3 linked regions of the Cricetulus griseus genome follow. The protein of the gene in region 1 interacts with the protein of each later gene in a pairwise test. Links are inferred from orthologs where the notes say so. Each region holds a gene or a part of one and is shown in the gene's direction. Other genes may lie near its edges.

Region 1 (3,803 bases):
ATGTAAATGCCCTGCTGTTGAGCATTTTGTTTTATTCAGGGTGGACGCCCACAAGGCCATGTTTTGTGTGATCAGCCCAGGGGTTACAGATTGTGTGGGCTTATAATGTATCTGTTAACTATATATTTATTTACCTACAGGTCATGGGTTAACTGCAGTCAAGGAAAAGGCCGGGGCAACCCTGCGAATCCACAGTGTCAATTCTGGATCTCCTGAAGGGGTACCAACTGATGCCGAAAATGGATTTTCTGAAAGTGAGTGGCATGTTCACCTCGTGTTCAGTTTTATTACACTATGTGCACAATTACACGGTGGGAAAGAGCCCACATTCAGATCAGCAAACCACATTCTAACAGGGGTGTTCTCTCTTACCATGACAGATGTGACTCCAGATCAGGACCCTGCCGGGGGCCCCCACACTTCTCCTCCGCCAGGGGCGGCAGGGTCGAGGGGCATGCTGTCAGCCCTCACCAACGTGGTTCAAAACACGGTGAGTCCCTAGCTGCTTCATGTTTCCCCTGGTGGCTCACTTCTTTTGATCTCTCCATCTCGTGACCCAGATACATCAGAGAAAAGGCAGCCTTGCTCATAACTTTGGATTACGGTTTGTTATGCTTTTTGCTACAGAGTAGGTGTGACCTTGGTTCTGAAATAATAAGGGCAAGATGAAATGTGGCTTGTGTTTAATAGAAAAGCATGGTTTAGAAGGGACATTATTTTTTTTTTTTCAATCTGATTTAACAGTGTCCTTTTCAGCCGCTGCAAGGACAACCTCTGGGTGGGGGAGGAACTCAGAGCCAGGACAGCTCTTCTTCCTGGATCCTATCTCAATGTTCTTAAAAATATGAAACTGTCTACAAACAAAGTATGTCACTGACAAGAGGAATAGTCCAGAGACCTACCCTGCCATATGGCTGCAATGCCTTCTGTGCCCTTCCTTGCAGAGCCCTAAATGTATCCCTGCAAGTCCTACCCTTCCTTTTTATTCATTTTCATTTATGTTAAGTGGATTGTTTTAAAGACAGATGCATAACCATCTCACTCAAAGGAAGCTTGTTATCCTATTGACAACAAAACAGTGATGAGTGTTAAAAGGAAACGGAGGTACCCCAAGTGAGATGAGGGAGCTAGCTGGTCCTCAGAGCCAAGAAGAAAAGATTCAGTCTACTCTCTAGAACAAACTAACTAGATTTTCTCGAAATATGGCTCATGTCCCTTTTTAGTCATTTAATCAGTTGTGATTTTGAAGAGAGACAATTGTCCTCACTGTGTAACAGGAACCTCACCAGACTCTGGCCAGATTTTCCATATTAAGTCAATTCAACAATGGAGTGCAGTGCACCATGGGAGAGAAGGGATTGTAGATGAACAGGGTAAGTGATCTGACCCATACATTGGGGTGAAAGTATGGCAGGAATAAAGAAAATGACTGTCCTGTACTTGCTCCTTGAAGGCCCCTAGACTGGGCAGGAAGAAGAGGCATACCAAGATGTTTTAGTAGTCACACAGCAAAGCAGTTCAAAGGCACCCATGGGAGTGGAGGAAGCTCACTCAGTAACTCTGGAGTAAAAAATGAATTCATAGCTTGTCACCTCCCTTTTTTTAATTAAAAATTTTTGCATTATTGTGTGTGCATATGATGGGGGAGGGGCACCTTACCATGGTGCTCATATGAACATGAGAGGACAACTCTGTGGAGTCAGTTCTCTCCTTCCTCTTTATGTGGGTTCCGGGGATGGAACTCAGGTCATCAGGTTCATGCAGTAATTGCCTGTTTCCATGGAACTATCTTGCCAGCCCTGAGCAATCCACTCCTGAAAGCACCATCCACATCCCCAGCTCCCTTTCTGTGTTCTGAACCTGCTTGGCTTCCTTCCCACAGTCCCACCCCATCTGCAGGCTTGCCCTTGTCCAACAGTGAACAGATACTTCCTGTTCTCACTTTATTCTCTATGGAAGTGGCAGGATATTGGGGACCTGTAAATTGAAGTTTGCAAAAGTATAGCTGCTGAGAATCCCATCATCCTTTGTATGCTTTGCTTTTATCATTGCTGGGACAATAACACAGGGAAATAACTCAGGGAAGAAGGTTTGTTTTGCTCATGGTTTGAGAGGCTTTAAGCCATGGTTGTTTGGCTTCGTGTGCTTGAATGTCATGGTGGTGGGATTACGTAAGCAGGGGGCTCTTTGCCTCTGGCAGCCCGGGTGCAGAGAAAGAGGAGGGACTGAGAACCAGATATAAAATTTAAGGTACACGCCCCAGTGGCCCACGTCCTCCAACTGGCCTCCACCTCCTTAAGTTTCTAGAACTTCCTAAAATAACACTAGTAGCTGAGGAACACTTTATATTGAAGCCATAGAATCCTTCAAAGTGTCTGCTTTTACAAGTCTGTTCCGTAGCATGAGTATTGATTTGGTGCCAGATTTGAAAACAAATTCCAAATGCCGAAAGTGGAAATGTCTGATAAAGTATATCCATTCAGCAAGGCTGAAAACTGCCATTTAAGTAATTATGAAGATTGAAAACACATAGAGATGACATTTTCATGTAAGGTGAGAAAAAATACAGTTGTTTGCAGATTGTAGTTAGAGTTGTATTGTTGGGATTCTGTCTAGGGTCTTCAAAGCAAGGCAGGTCTGTTCATTTGAGCAGTGTGCATGGGTCTCTGTTGTTTCAATTTCCGTTAAAAGGAAAACAATGGCTGGCAAAGGGATTTTTCCTGATTGATACCTGGCTAATAGAATAGTTTCTACAGCTAGAAGTACATGGAGAGCAAGCTGTCTTACTTCATTAATGTACTAATTATATTTGGTGTTCTTCAGTTTCTGAAAGTACGAAAGAGCCATCTGAAACAGCCTGAGGGTCTGCTGCTTCAGGGCCCTGCATTAAAAATCATCTAAATAAGCCTGAGTATTTGACATTTTAATAACCCACCCCAAATAATTCTGTTACTTATGCTAAAATTCTTTCAAACGAACATGGCAATTGGGTCATCCATTAATTTTATGTCTTAGATTCATATCTCTTGATATGCTCAGAGCCACTGACATGAATCCCGAATGTGCATCATTTTTAATAACACCTCATGTCCTACAAATTATACAATGTACAGTTTTTCAAGAAAAAGCAAACAGGATTTAAATAGATGATCAATGTCATGGTGTGAAAAACTTGTGGCTTTCTATTGATTTTAATATTTGAAGAGAGTGCCGGGTACATGGGAACTGCGGGCCAGTGCAAAACAGCAGGCTGTAGAAAAATCTAATTGCATGTGTTTTTCTCATTTGCAGGGCAAAAGTGTCTTAAGCGGAGGTCTGGATGCTCTGGAATTCATTGGAAAGAAAACCATGAATGTCCTCGCAGAAAGTGACCCAGGGTTTAAGCGGACAAAGACACTGATGGAGAGAACCGTTTCCTTGTCCCAGGTTGGACTAGAATCCTTCATTGATTTTTCTCCTTTCAGCCAATAAAGTCAAAGCAAGTGGCACAAAAAGTAGGAAGAAAGCTAACTTTCTGACACGGTCCACTGAAAATCTCGTGGGAGGCAAGCACTGTTAATGGTCCCTTATGCACGCTGTTGGTTATCTTACAGACATAGTGATAAATAAGCATTTGGGTATAAGAATATGCATGCATTTGGGTATAAGAATATGTACACACACACTCCAGGCAAACAGCACCATATTGATCACACTTTCATACATTACTCATTTAGTAATCTGTTGAAGATTTTTCCATGTATGCCCCTTTCAGTACCTCAGTTCTGTCGCTTATCATCTATACAACATTGTGGGTTTACTTT
Region 2 (4,272 bases), about 75 Mb from region 1:
GTTCAAGACCTGCCTGGTCTACAGAGGGAGTGTTAGGACTGGCACCAAATCTACACAGGGAAACCCTGGCTTGGAGGAAAAAAAAAAAAGGCAAAACAAAACAAACCCTATTATTATAGTTAACTTGACAACTGTGATCCAAAAGTGAAGTTATCTGCTCAAAGTTTGTACTCACTGGCAAACAAGGTATACTCTACTCTTTTTATGTTCTCTGGCGGCTATTTCTTTCCTTCTATCCTTCATTAGCAAAGCGAGCAGAAACCACGTTGGTGAAAGTAGCCACTTTTATCAGAAATTTCAAGTTTAAAAGACCACTTACAGAGTTCAAGAATTAACACCTGTCCGAGGTTAACCCCTGCTACATAAACTACTTTCTTATCAGGTTTTCTTTACTGAAAAAAAAAAAAAAACAAATTTCTTCCTTGCTATCTTCCCAAGATTGTTGCAACTACTTCACCCGAACCAGGGCAGACAATCCCACTCGTTCTCCACATTCAGAACCGGACTCCTTCCTTAAACAGGCAGTGAAGCTCTTCAACATCCTGGTTTTCTGATGACAGACGCTTCCCGTTCGTCCCCCCACCGCACCGCTCAGAGTCCTCAGAGGCTCTCGAAGCCTCGGCCACTGTCCTCCCCAGCTCCCGTCCGCCCCCGCGCTCTCCCCCACCGTCCGGCCCCAACCGCTGCCTAGGCCCTCCCGCGCCCCAGCGTCGGCAGCTTTTGCTCACCTCGGCCCCTGACAGGAAAGGATGCGAGGGCCCAGTGATGGTCAGGTAATTGTCATTTCCTCCGGGAAACTGTAAACCAAAAACAAATAAATAAATAAAAAGCCACGGGGATAAGTGAGCGAAGCAGGGGCGCGCGGGGACCCCGGGCCTCCCAGCCCTCCCGAGCACCCCTCGCTCCCCGCTGTCCGGCTTCCCGCTTCTGCTTCCATCTAGTCGGCCGCGCTGCTCGTCAACCCTCCAGACCCCCCGCGCGTACCTCCATCTTCACAGCACCACTACCAGCGTCCCAGTGTCCGCATCGCTCCCACCGGACCCACTGGGTTCCGAACGCGTCACTTCCTCAAAGAGGAGCGTCGCTCTCCGCTGATTGGACGGAGTCCTGGCCGAACCAGTCGCGATTCGAGCTGCCCGAAGGCTCGCTGTCGCCCCCTGGAGCTTGGTGGGATAATGGCATGTAGAAGAGCGCGGGGCGGCCCTAGAGGCGGCGTCGGGTACTCCGGATCCAGGGAGGATTTCTGGGGAGAGCAATAGAGACGCGGCCTGAGCTAGAAGGGCTGGAGCGGAGGCAAATAAGGAGATCGGTAGAGTGAGTGGCTAGAGAGGACGGAGGTAAGTGGCTGTAGAAATCAGGCGGACCGGAACACAGACGCCTCGGGACCATGACTTACGCTTATCTCTTCAAGTACATCATCATCGGAGACACAGGTAACCCGCAGGTGGACCGCCTTCGGGGCTTGGGCGGGGATCCCACCTCCAAAATCGGCCTGGGGGCGGGGCGGGACGAGTGGGCCGGGCGAGCGGAGTGGCGCGGAGGGGGCGGGGCGAACTCCGGGGGCGGGGCTCTGTCTTTTCCTTAGACCCTGTGCCCCGCCTGGGAGCCCGCGGTTTCCCGGGTGGCGTGCCTACTCCGCACTGTCTGTTTTCAGGTGTGGGGAAGTCATGTCTCCTCCTGCAGTTCACCGATAAGCGGTTCCAGCCTGTGCACGACCTCACAATAGGTAAGCGTATCCCCTCGTTCCAGAACAGATAGATAAAAGCTGGCTGGCTGAACTGCTGAAGGAGAAAGTTAACAGTCTCAGTATTCTAAGGAAAAAGTTGCGCCTCCCCGCCTTAGACCTAAGCCGTGCCATATGAAAAATGATAGAAGCCGGTAAATAGAGGGTAAATAATGGAAAGGTAACGTTAGAGAGGGATGTGAGATAAACACTAGTTGTCATAGGAATTTTTCTTTAAATGCAACTTGTATGTTTCTGCAAAAAAAAAAAAAAAATCCCACGAAAACACAACTGCTTATTCAGAAACTCATCTGTAGTTTGTGGTTAACTACCAACCTCACATGTTTTTCGAAGTAAACTCCGACATCGATTCTTTTTGTGTTGGAGAGGATAAAGCCAATTTAAGAGTCATCTCAGTCCTTCCTCCTCTTTTTTGAGACAAGTTCTGGCTATGTAGTCCAGGCTAGCCTCAGATTCACTCTGTATTCCACACTGGCCATGAATTCCCAGATATCCTTCTGCCTCAGCCTCCAAGTGCTGTGATTAGGGGCATGCACCATCACAGGCTTAATAAGTTTTTGTTTTTGTTTTTTGAAGACTGGCTTTGTACTCCATGAGTAATCTGAAGATGACCTTGAACAGGCCTTGATCTTACTGCCTCCATCTCATAAATGCTGGGATTAGATGTGCTCAGCCTGTTTTGTTTGTTTGGTTTTTGTTGTTGTTTTAGTTTATTTATTTATTTGTGTGTGTGTTTTATGAATATGAGTGCTCTGTCTTCATGCACACCAGAAGAGGGTGCTGGGAATTGAACTCAGGGCATCGGGAAGAGCAGTGAAGTGCTCTTAACTTTGGAGCCACCTCTCCAGCCCCAGTGTTTTAGTTTCTTACTCATTAAAATTACATTCTTTTTAAAAATAATTTATTTCTATTTTATATGAATTGGTGTTTTACCTTCTGTTTGAGGGTGCTAGATTCCTTGGAACTGTAGTCACAGACAGTTGGGAGCTGCCATATGGGTGCTGGGAATTGAATCCAGGTCCTCTGGAAGAGCCAGTGCTCCTAACTTCTGAGACATCTCTCCAGCCCCCGAAATTACATTCTTAACTTTTCTGAAAGAAAGAAAAATTGACTGATGTTTTTTCAAAAAGTAACTTTTGATTTTTATTGAGGTAATAGCCAGAAGCGATTTCTATATCTTTCTTATAGATTATAGCACCTTAAAGTAGAAATATTCTATATAGGGAAAGGATATCTACATAGGATGACTGAATTGGTATTATAGCATTCCTGAAGGTAAACTAGATTAGTAATCTTGAAAATCTGAATTCCTTGTGCTATGTGCAAAATACTGTATGAAAATAGAAAAGGGGAGGAATTGTCTGACTTATGATGCAATGTTTTTAACAGGACTGTTTTTGAAATATTGAGGTGAATTTTACCTTGAAATAGAAGAATGTCAAAAGCCTTATCAGTTTGCCAGTTTCCAAACTGCTTTGAGATAGGCTATTTCTGGTTAATAATCCTTCCTTCCTTCCTTCCTTTCTTTCTTTCCTTCTTTCTTTCTGTGGCTTTTCAAGACAGCCTTGTGGTCCCAGAACTTGCTCTGTAGACCAGACTGGCCTTGAACTCACAGATCCGCCTGCCTCCGGCAACTTTCTTAATTGCAAATGAAAATAATTTCAGAATTATAGTAAAGAAGTCCTGCTTCATACATAGAACTAGTGGGTATTCTGAGACACTGCCAAGAAAGTCTTTCAAGGGGGCTGGAGAGATGACTTAGCCCTGGCTAAGGGCACTGGCTGCTCTTGCCAGGTTCAATTGCCAGCACCTGAATGGCAGCTCATAATCTCTGTCACTCCAGTTGCAGAAGGATCTGTTGTCCTCTTCTGACCTCCACATGGAGGTGTAACAGGCACACATGTAGCACACATACTTACATGCAGGCAGACACTTACATGCATAAAACTTTAAAAGCCTAAAAAAGAAAGAAGGAAATACTGGGCTGGAGAGATGGCAAAGAGGTTAAGAGCACTGTCTGCTCTTCTAGACATCCTGAGTTCAATTCCCAGGAACCACATGGTGGCTCACAAGCATCCATAATGAGATCTGGTGCACAGACATACATGCAGGCAGAACACTGCATATAATAAATAAATCTTAAAAATAAAGGAAGTACTTTTTGTTTTTTCCAGCAGGGTTTCTCTGTATTGCTTTGGAGGCTGTCCTGGCACTCACTCTGTAGACCAGGCTAGCCTGGAACTCACAGAGATTCGCCTGCCTCTGACTCCCAGGTGCTGGAATTAAAGGCGTGTGCCACCAAAGCCCAGCTAGAAAATAACTTTCAAACAGTTTAGAAGTCCTTTGAATTAAATATTACATAGTCAGATTTCAGTATAACATTTCTAAAAATTTATCTACCTCTTGGGGGTGCAAACATCTATAATGAGATCTGGTGCCCTCTTCTGGTGTGCAAGCATACATGCAGGCAAAACACTGCATACATAACAAATAGATCTTTGTTTCAAAGATTTTTTATGTGTGTTGGT
Region 3 (4,524 bases), on another chromosome or scaffold:
TTGCAGAGAGGGAGGAGTGAAGATCAAAGGGGTCGGTACCAGGCTGGTGAATCCCTCAGAAACAGCTGGCCTGAACAAGGGGGAGCACATGGACCCCAGATGCTGTCTGGGAGGACAGTACAGGACTGATCCAGACCCCTGAACGTGAATGTTAATGAGGAGGCCTAGGCACTCTATGGGGCCCCTGGTAGTGGATCAGTATTTTTCTCTGGTGTAAGAAGGGACTTTGAGAGCCCATCCCACGTGAAGGGATGCTCTGTCTCGGCCTGGACACATAGGGAAGGGCCTAGATCCCGCCCAGGATGATGTGGTGGACTTTGGGGAGCACTCATGGAGAGCCCTACCCTCCCTGGGGAGTGGAGGGGGGAGGGGGGGCTGGTGGGAGGTTGGGGAGGGAGGGAGAGGGAGAAGGGATTGACATGTGAAGCTATATAAATAAAATTTTTTTAAAAAGATATATTTTTAAGTTCTCCTTAAAACACTAAGATCTTGCTATAAGATTCTTAAAATTTTTCAAACAAGATTTACAGATAATTCAATATGATCATACATTATTTCAGAGCAAAACTACTTACTGAAAGGAGTCATAACATCTGCACCCTCTTTTGTAAGAACAGTGATTAGAGTGAGCCTTACAGAAGAGGACCTGTGTCTGAGGGCAAGCCTAGTGTTGAGTATGTTCCCCTCAACATCAGCACAAAGCCGCAAAAGGAGACAGTTTGGACAGGAGGTCTGAGGAGGATCTCTGTAACTGTACAGAGAAAACTAGTTCTGTTGAGAAAAAGTATGTAGTTAAGAAGAGGGAGGAGATGGGAGCATGAGAGGAAGATAAAGACTAACAGGGTGATGACCAGAATACTTTATGTAGATATGAAAATGTCCTAATGAAGCCGTTATTGTGATTTAATTAACTTATGCTAATTAAAAAAGAATATATAGCCGGGCGGTGGTAGCGCATGCACAAGGCGGGAAGTGCGCAGAGGCAGGACGATCTCTGTGTGTTCAAGGCCAGCCTGGTCTACAAAGCGAGTTCTAGGACAGCCAGGGCTACACAGAGAAACCCTGCTTCGAAAAACCAAAACCAAAAAGTAAACCAAACCAACCAACCAAATACATCAAGCTCTATTCACCAAAGCTAGAACCCAAAGATGTCTCCCCCGAAGCACGAGCCACCCGAAAACTGAAGGCAGAAGCACAGACTTCACTGCCATAGCTTTCTCCTGGTGCTTATGTCAGACAGGTGACCTAGGACGGACCCTGACCCAACGCCAGCACTGGCGCCAGCTTCTGCATTGCTCCAATACATTTGCGCTCGGGCGAGCACAGAAGCTCCCATCCGGGGCTCCACGCCAGCCTCGTTGTCATAGTTACCGCCAGAGCCCCGCCCCTTCCTCGCTGTCCGGCCCCGCCCCTCAGAACCCGGAAGCGGGAGGCGCGCCCCAGGGAGCTACGGGATTCAGACCTGGGAGGCGGCGGCCTCTGGCTGCTCAGCCGCGCGCCCCCTCTACCTGCTGCGCCCGCGGAGCCTCTGCTCTGCAGCCGCCCGGCCCACCCGCGCCCTGCCGCCTGCCTCCGCAGCGCCCGAACCGGGCCGAAGAGCCGTTTGGGCTGGAGAGAAAGGGACGCGGGGGTGGCCACGGCAGGTGAGGGGCAGGCCTTGGAAAGCGGAGTGAGGGTGTGTGGTGCGTGTAGGGTTGTAGGTGGGTGTGTATCGAGCATGCGTGACTAGTGAGTGTCGTCCACGGGTGGGCCGGTCCTTGTGACCATGCACGTGATCCATATCCGTGTGTGTTTGTGTCTGTGTCTAAGGCCCAGCCTCGGTTCATTGCGGATGGTCGGTGTGCCTGTGGGTCCACTATTGTGTGGCTATGGCTATAACTAGTGGGACTCAGGGAGGCCCCAATGGGGGTTGGTGCCCAAAACCTTAACCGGACATCTTCATCTTCTTGTACCACCCAACTTGGGGCTGTGCGGCAGAAGCTCAGAAGCATTTGGTTTCAGTAAACTTTTAAGGACTGCGAGTAGAGGCCAGTTCTGGAGATCCTGCCTTAGACCGGGCATGAGGCTTGTTAGAGAGTCATGAGAAACATTGCAGGGCTAGCGAGTGTCTCGTTTTTCTTTTCCCAGGAAGTTAGTTGTTAGGTGCTGATGCAGTTGCTTTGTCTCTATCTGCAATTGTCCAGCTACTCTTCGTGCAAGGATTCTAAGGATTGGGAAGTCCTCTAATACTGTCTGAATTTTTCAAAAGGCATTTACAACAGGATCTTGAGAAGAGGTGTCAGAAGATGTCATGCAGGCAGCATCTCCTGTCATGGCATTTAGAGACAAGTGGATAGGTTCCTGGAGAAAGAGGGATGAATTTTCCCTGAAGAAATCGCCCCCGAAAGATAGCTATTTAATACATATGGGTGTGCTGGGGGTGGGGTGAAGATCTGCAGTAAATAGCCAACTGTGGTTCTTTGGGTGTAGTTTAGTGGCAGAAGCTCATGCTTAGCATTCCCGAGGCCATAGGTTCAGTTCCTGGTACCGATAATCATAGTTGTGTCACCTAGAGGCTTTCAAGGTCTAATGCTTTTTTTATTGGCTGTAATAATCACAGATTATCCCTATGTAAGTCCACTATAGATTGAGATAAAGGACCAGCCATATGTGACCATGTGAGTTAACATTTGTAAAGCTGATTTCCTCAGCTGTAAAGTGCAGGTTCTGCTGAGACTCCACGTGCATGCTCACATCCAGCAACACAAAGTCCAGAAAGGACCAGGTGTCCTCAGCATCCCGGAGGAGGGGTTTCCTTAATCATGATTAAAGCTTATCTCTGGCCCTTTCCTCACCAGCCTGAACAAGTGCTTTTGTTTTTGTAAAGAACTGAATCATGAGAAATCGCATCTGTGCTGAGCTCACCGCTCACATTCTTTTTTCATCCTGACCAGTTTGGTCACAATCTCAGCTAACTTTCTGGGCCATAGACACAATGTTTCTTTTGTGACTTGGAAAAGCATCCGACCTAAGTGGATGAAAGAGAGCTAGAACAAACTTTCCTTTTCATACTGCTACAGCTGCTTTCCCTTTGCAGCTTTTTTTTTCTTCTTCTTCTTCTTCTTCATAGCCGTCAGCTGGTCACATGCAACATTTGGTAACTGTCTCGCCTTTCATTACTGCCGAACTAGCACAAGTGTTAGGCTCACTTGTCTTTACAAACGTGTACTCACAGCTGGGCAAAATCTCTTACCCATCAAGATTAGTTATAACGTGTCCTGTTGCAATACTGAGGTAGTTGTGAATTATACGGAAGGCTTTTGGTAAGGACTACCTTCTACCCATTGCTATGGGAAAGAAGTGGGTGACTCGGGGTCCTTGTGTGCCTGCCTACGTGTTTGTGCTGTGGTTTGGTTTGTGAATTGCACCTGACTCTAAAACTGTGAATAATTTCTACCGTAAATGGGTTGATTCTAGAAGTAAACTTTAACAAATTGATTGAAGTTTTTGTTTGTGTGTCTGTTTTGAAATGAGGTTTCACCTATCACTGTGTAGCCCTTGCTGGCTTGGAACTCACTATGTACACCTTGAACTCAGAGTTCTGTCTTCCTCCTGAGTGCTGGGATTAAAGGTGTGCGCTATCATCTGGTGGTTTCACATATTTTTGATATTCTCTCCTACAGAAATTGTTCTAGAAAATGTCTTTAGTTGGTGTCCTAGTGTAAAGTATTTCAGAATTAACTGCTAGTTGCTTTCATTTAAAAAAAGTAGTAGCTTAAGGGAGACAGAAGAGGTAAATTGACTATATTACATTTTGCATGAAACTATTCAAATAATAAGAATCTCTAAAAGTTGTTAAAGTTATGATATAAAAATAGTTTAAACATCTTAGATACTAAACTTGTTAATATTTAAGATAAATGGATTTTGCAAAGGATTGTGTTCTTTGTTTTAGTGTTAATGACTGAATCTGTGCACGATGGTTTCAATATAAGATTGATGGTAATTTACTTTGTGTTTTAAAACAATTTACAGTTTTAGCGGGGGCGGGGGGGCTCTGCTCTCTGTGAGTTAGAGGCCAGCCTGGTCTACAGAGTGAGTTCTCAGTTGGGGATACACAGTGAAATCCTTTCTCAAAAAAAAAAAAATTACAATTTTAACAACCCTCTCAAAATATTTCCTTTGCTTTGAGATAAGAGACCACTATCCTATCAGCATTGTAATTAGAGTTTTAATATTGGTCTGTCTACATTTACTGTCTCCTGGAAGTTCAGTGTAGTGATTCTCAAAGGTAGCAGACCAGTGTTGTGTCCCTGTAGAAAGAGGCCAGAGAATGAGGAAGGGTTCCATTAAGTTTAGAATTCTCTGCCCCTTGCCAGGCCAGAGAGCTTTTTCAAAGTCAGCCTAAACTTAAGTCCTGGACTGTCACCTCATCCCTACTAGGGACTCTAGTTCTGCCCTCAAAGCAGGGGAATGCCACGCAAGACATGTATTTGAACCTTTCCAGGTGGGCCAAGTGCTCTTGGCCATAAGAATCTGCAAGAA

Evidence for each region.
Region 2: the proteins of Fam114a1 (region 1) and Rab2b interact in binary tests that used the Homo sapiens proteins (3 or more experiments, as listed by UniProt). The two-hybrid records come from large-scale screens. The link is inferred for Cricetulus griseus from reciprocal best matches to the Homo sapiens genes FAM114A1 and RAB2B.
Region 3: the proteins of Fam114a1 (region 1) and Spg21 interact in binary tests that used the Homo sapiens proteins (3 or more experiments, as listed by UniProt). The two-hybrid records come from large-scale screens. The link is inferred for Cricetulus griseus from reciprocal best matches to the Homo sapiens genes FAM114A1 and SPG21.

Annotation. Positions count from the first base shown.
Region 1 is NW_023276807.1:132,022,849-132,026,651, forward strand, and holds part of Fam114a1 (protein NOXP20), read left to right. Parts: intron 1-140; coding exon 141-254; intron 255-380; coding exon 381-490; intron 491-3,291; coding exon 3,292-3,426; intron 3,427-3,803. UniProt on the Homo sapiens protein: May play a role in neuronal cell development.
Region 2 is NW_023276807.1:207,374,726-207,378,997, reverse strand, and holds the start of Rab2b (ras-related protein Rab-2B), read left to right. Parts: upstream 1-1,172; 5' UTR 1,173-1,387; coding exon 1,388-1,433; intron 1,434-1,654; coding exon 1,655-1,726; intron 1,727-4,272. Other genes in the region: Tox4 (TOX high mobility group box family member 4), read right to left, coding at 729-797, 985-990. UniProt on the Homo sapiens protein: The small GTPases Rab are key regulators of intracellular membrane trafficking, from the formation of transport vesicles to their fusion with membranes. Rabs cycle between active GTP-bound and inactive GDP-bound states.
Region 3 is NC_048597.1:177,058,193-177,062,716, forward strand, and holds the start of Spg21 (maspardin), read left to right. Parts: upstream 1-1,424; 5' UTR 1,425-1,643; intron 1,644-4,524. UniProt on the Homo sapiens protein: May play a role as a negative regulatory factor in CD4-dependent T-cell activation.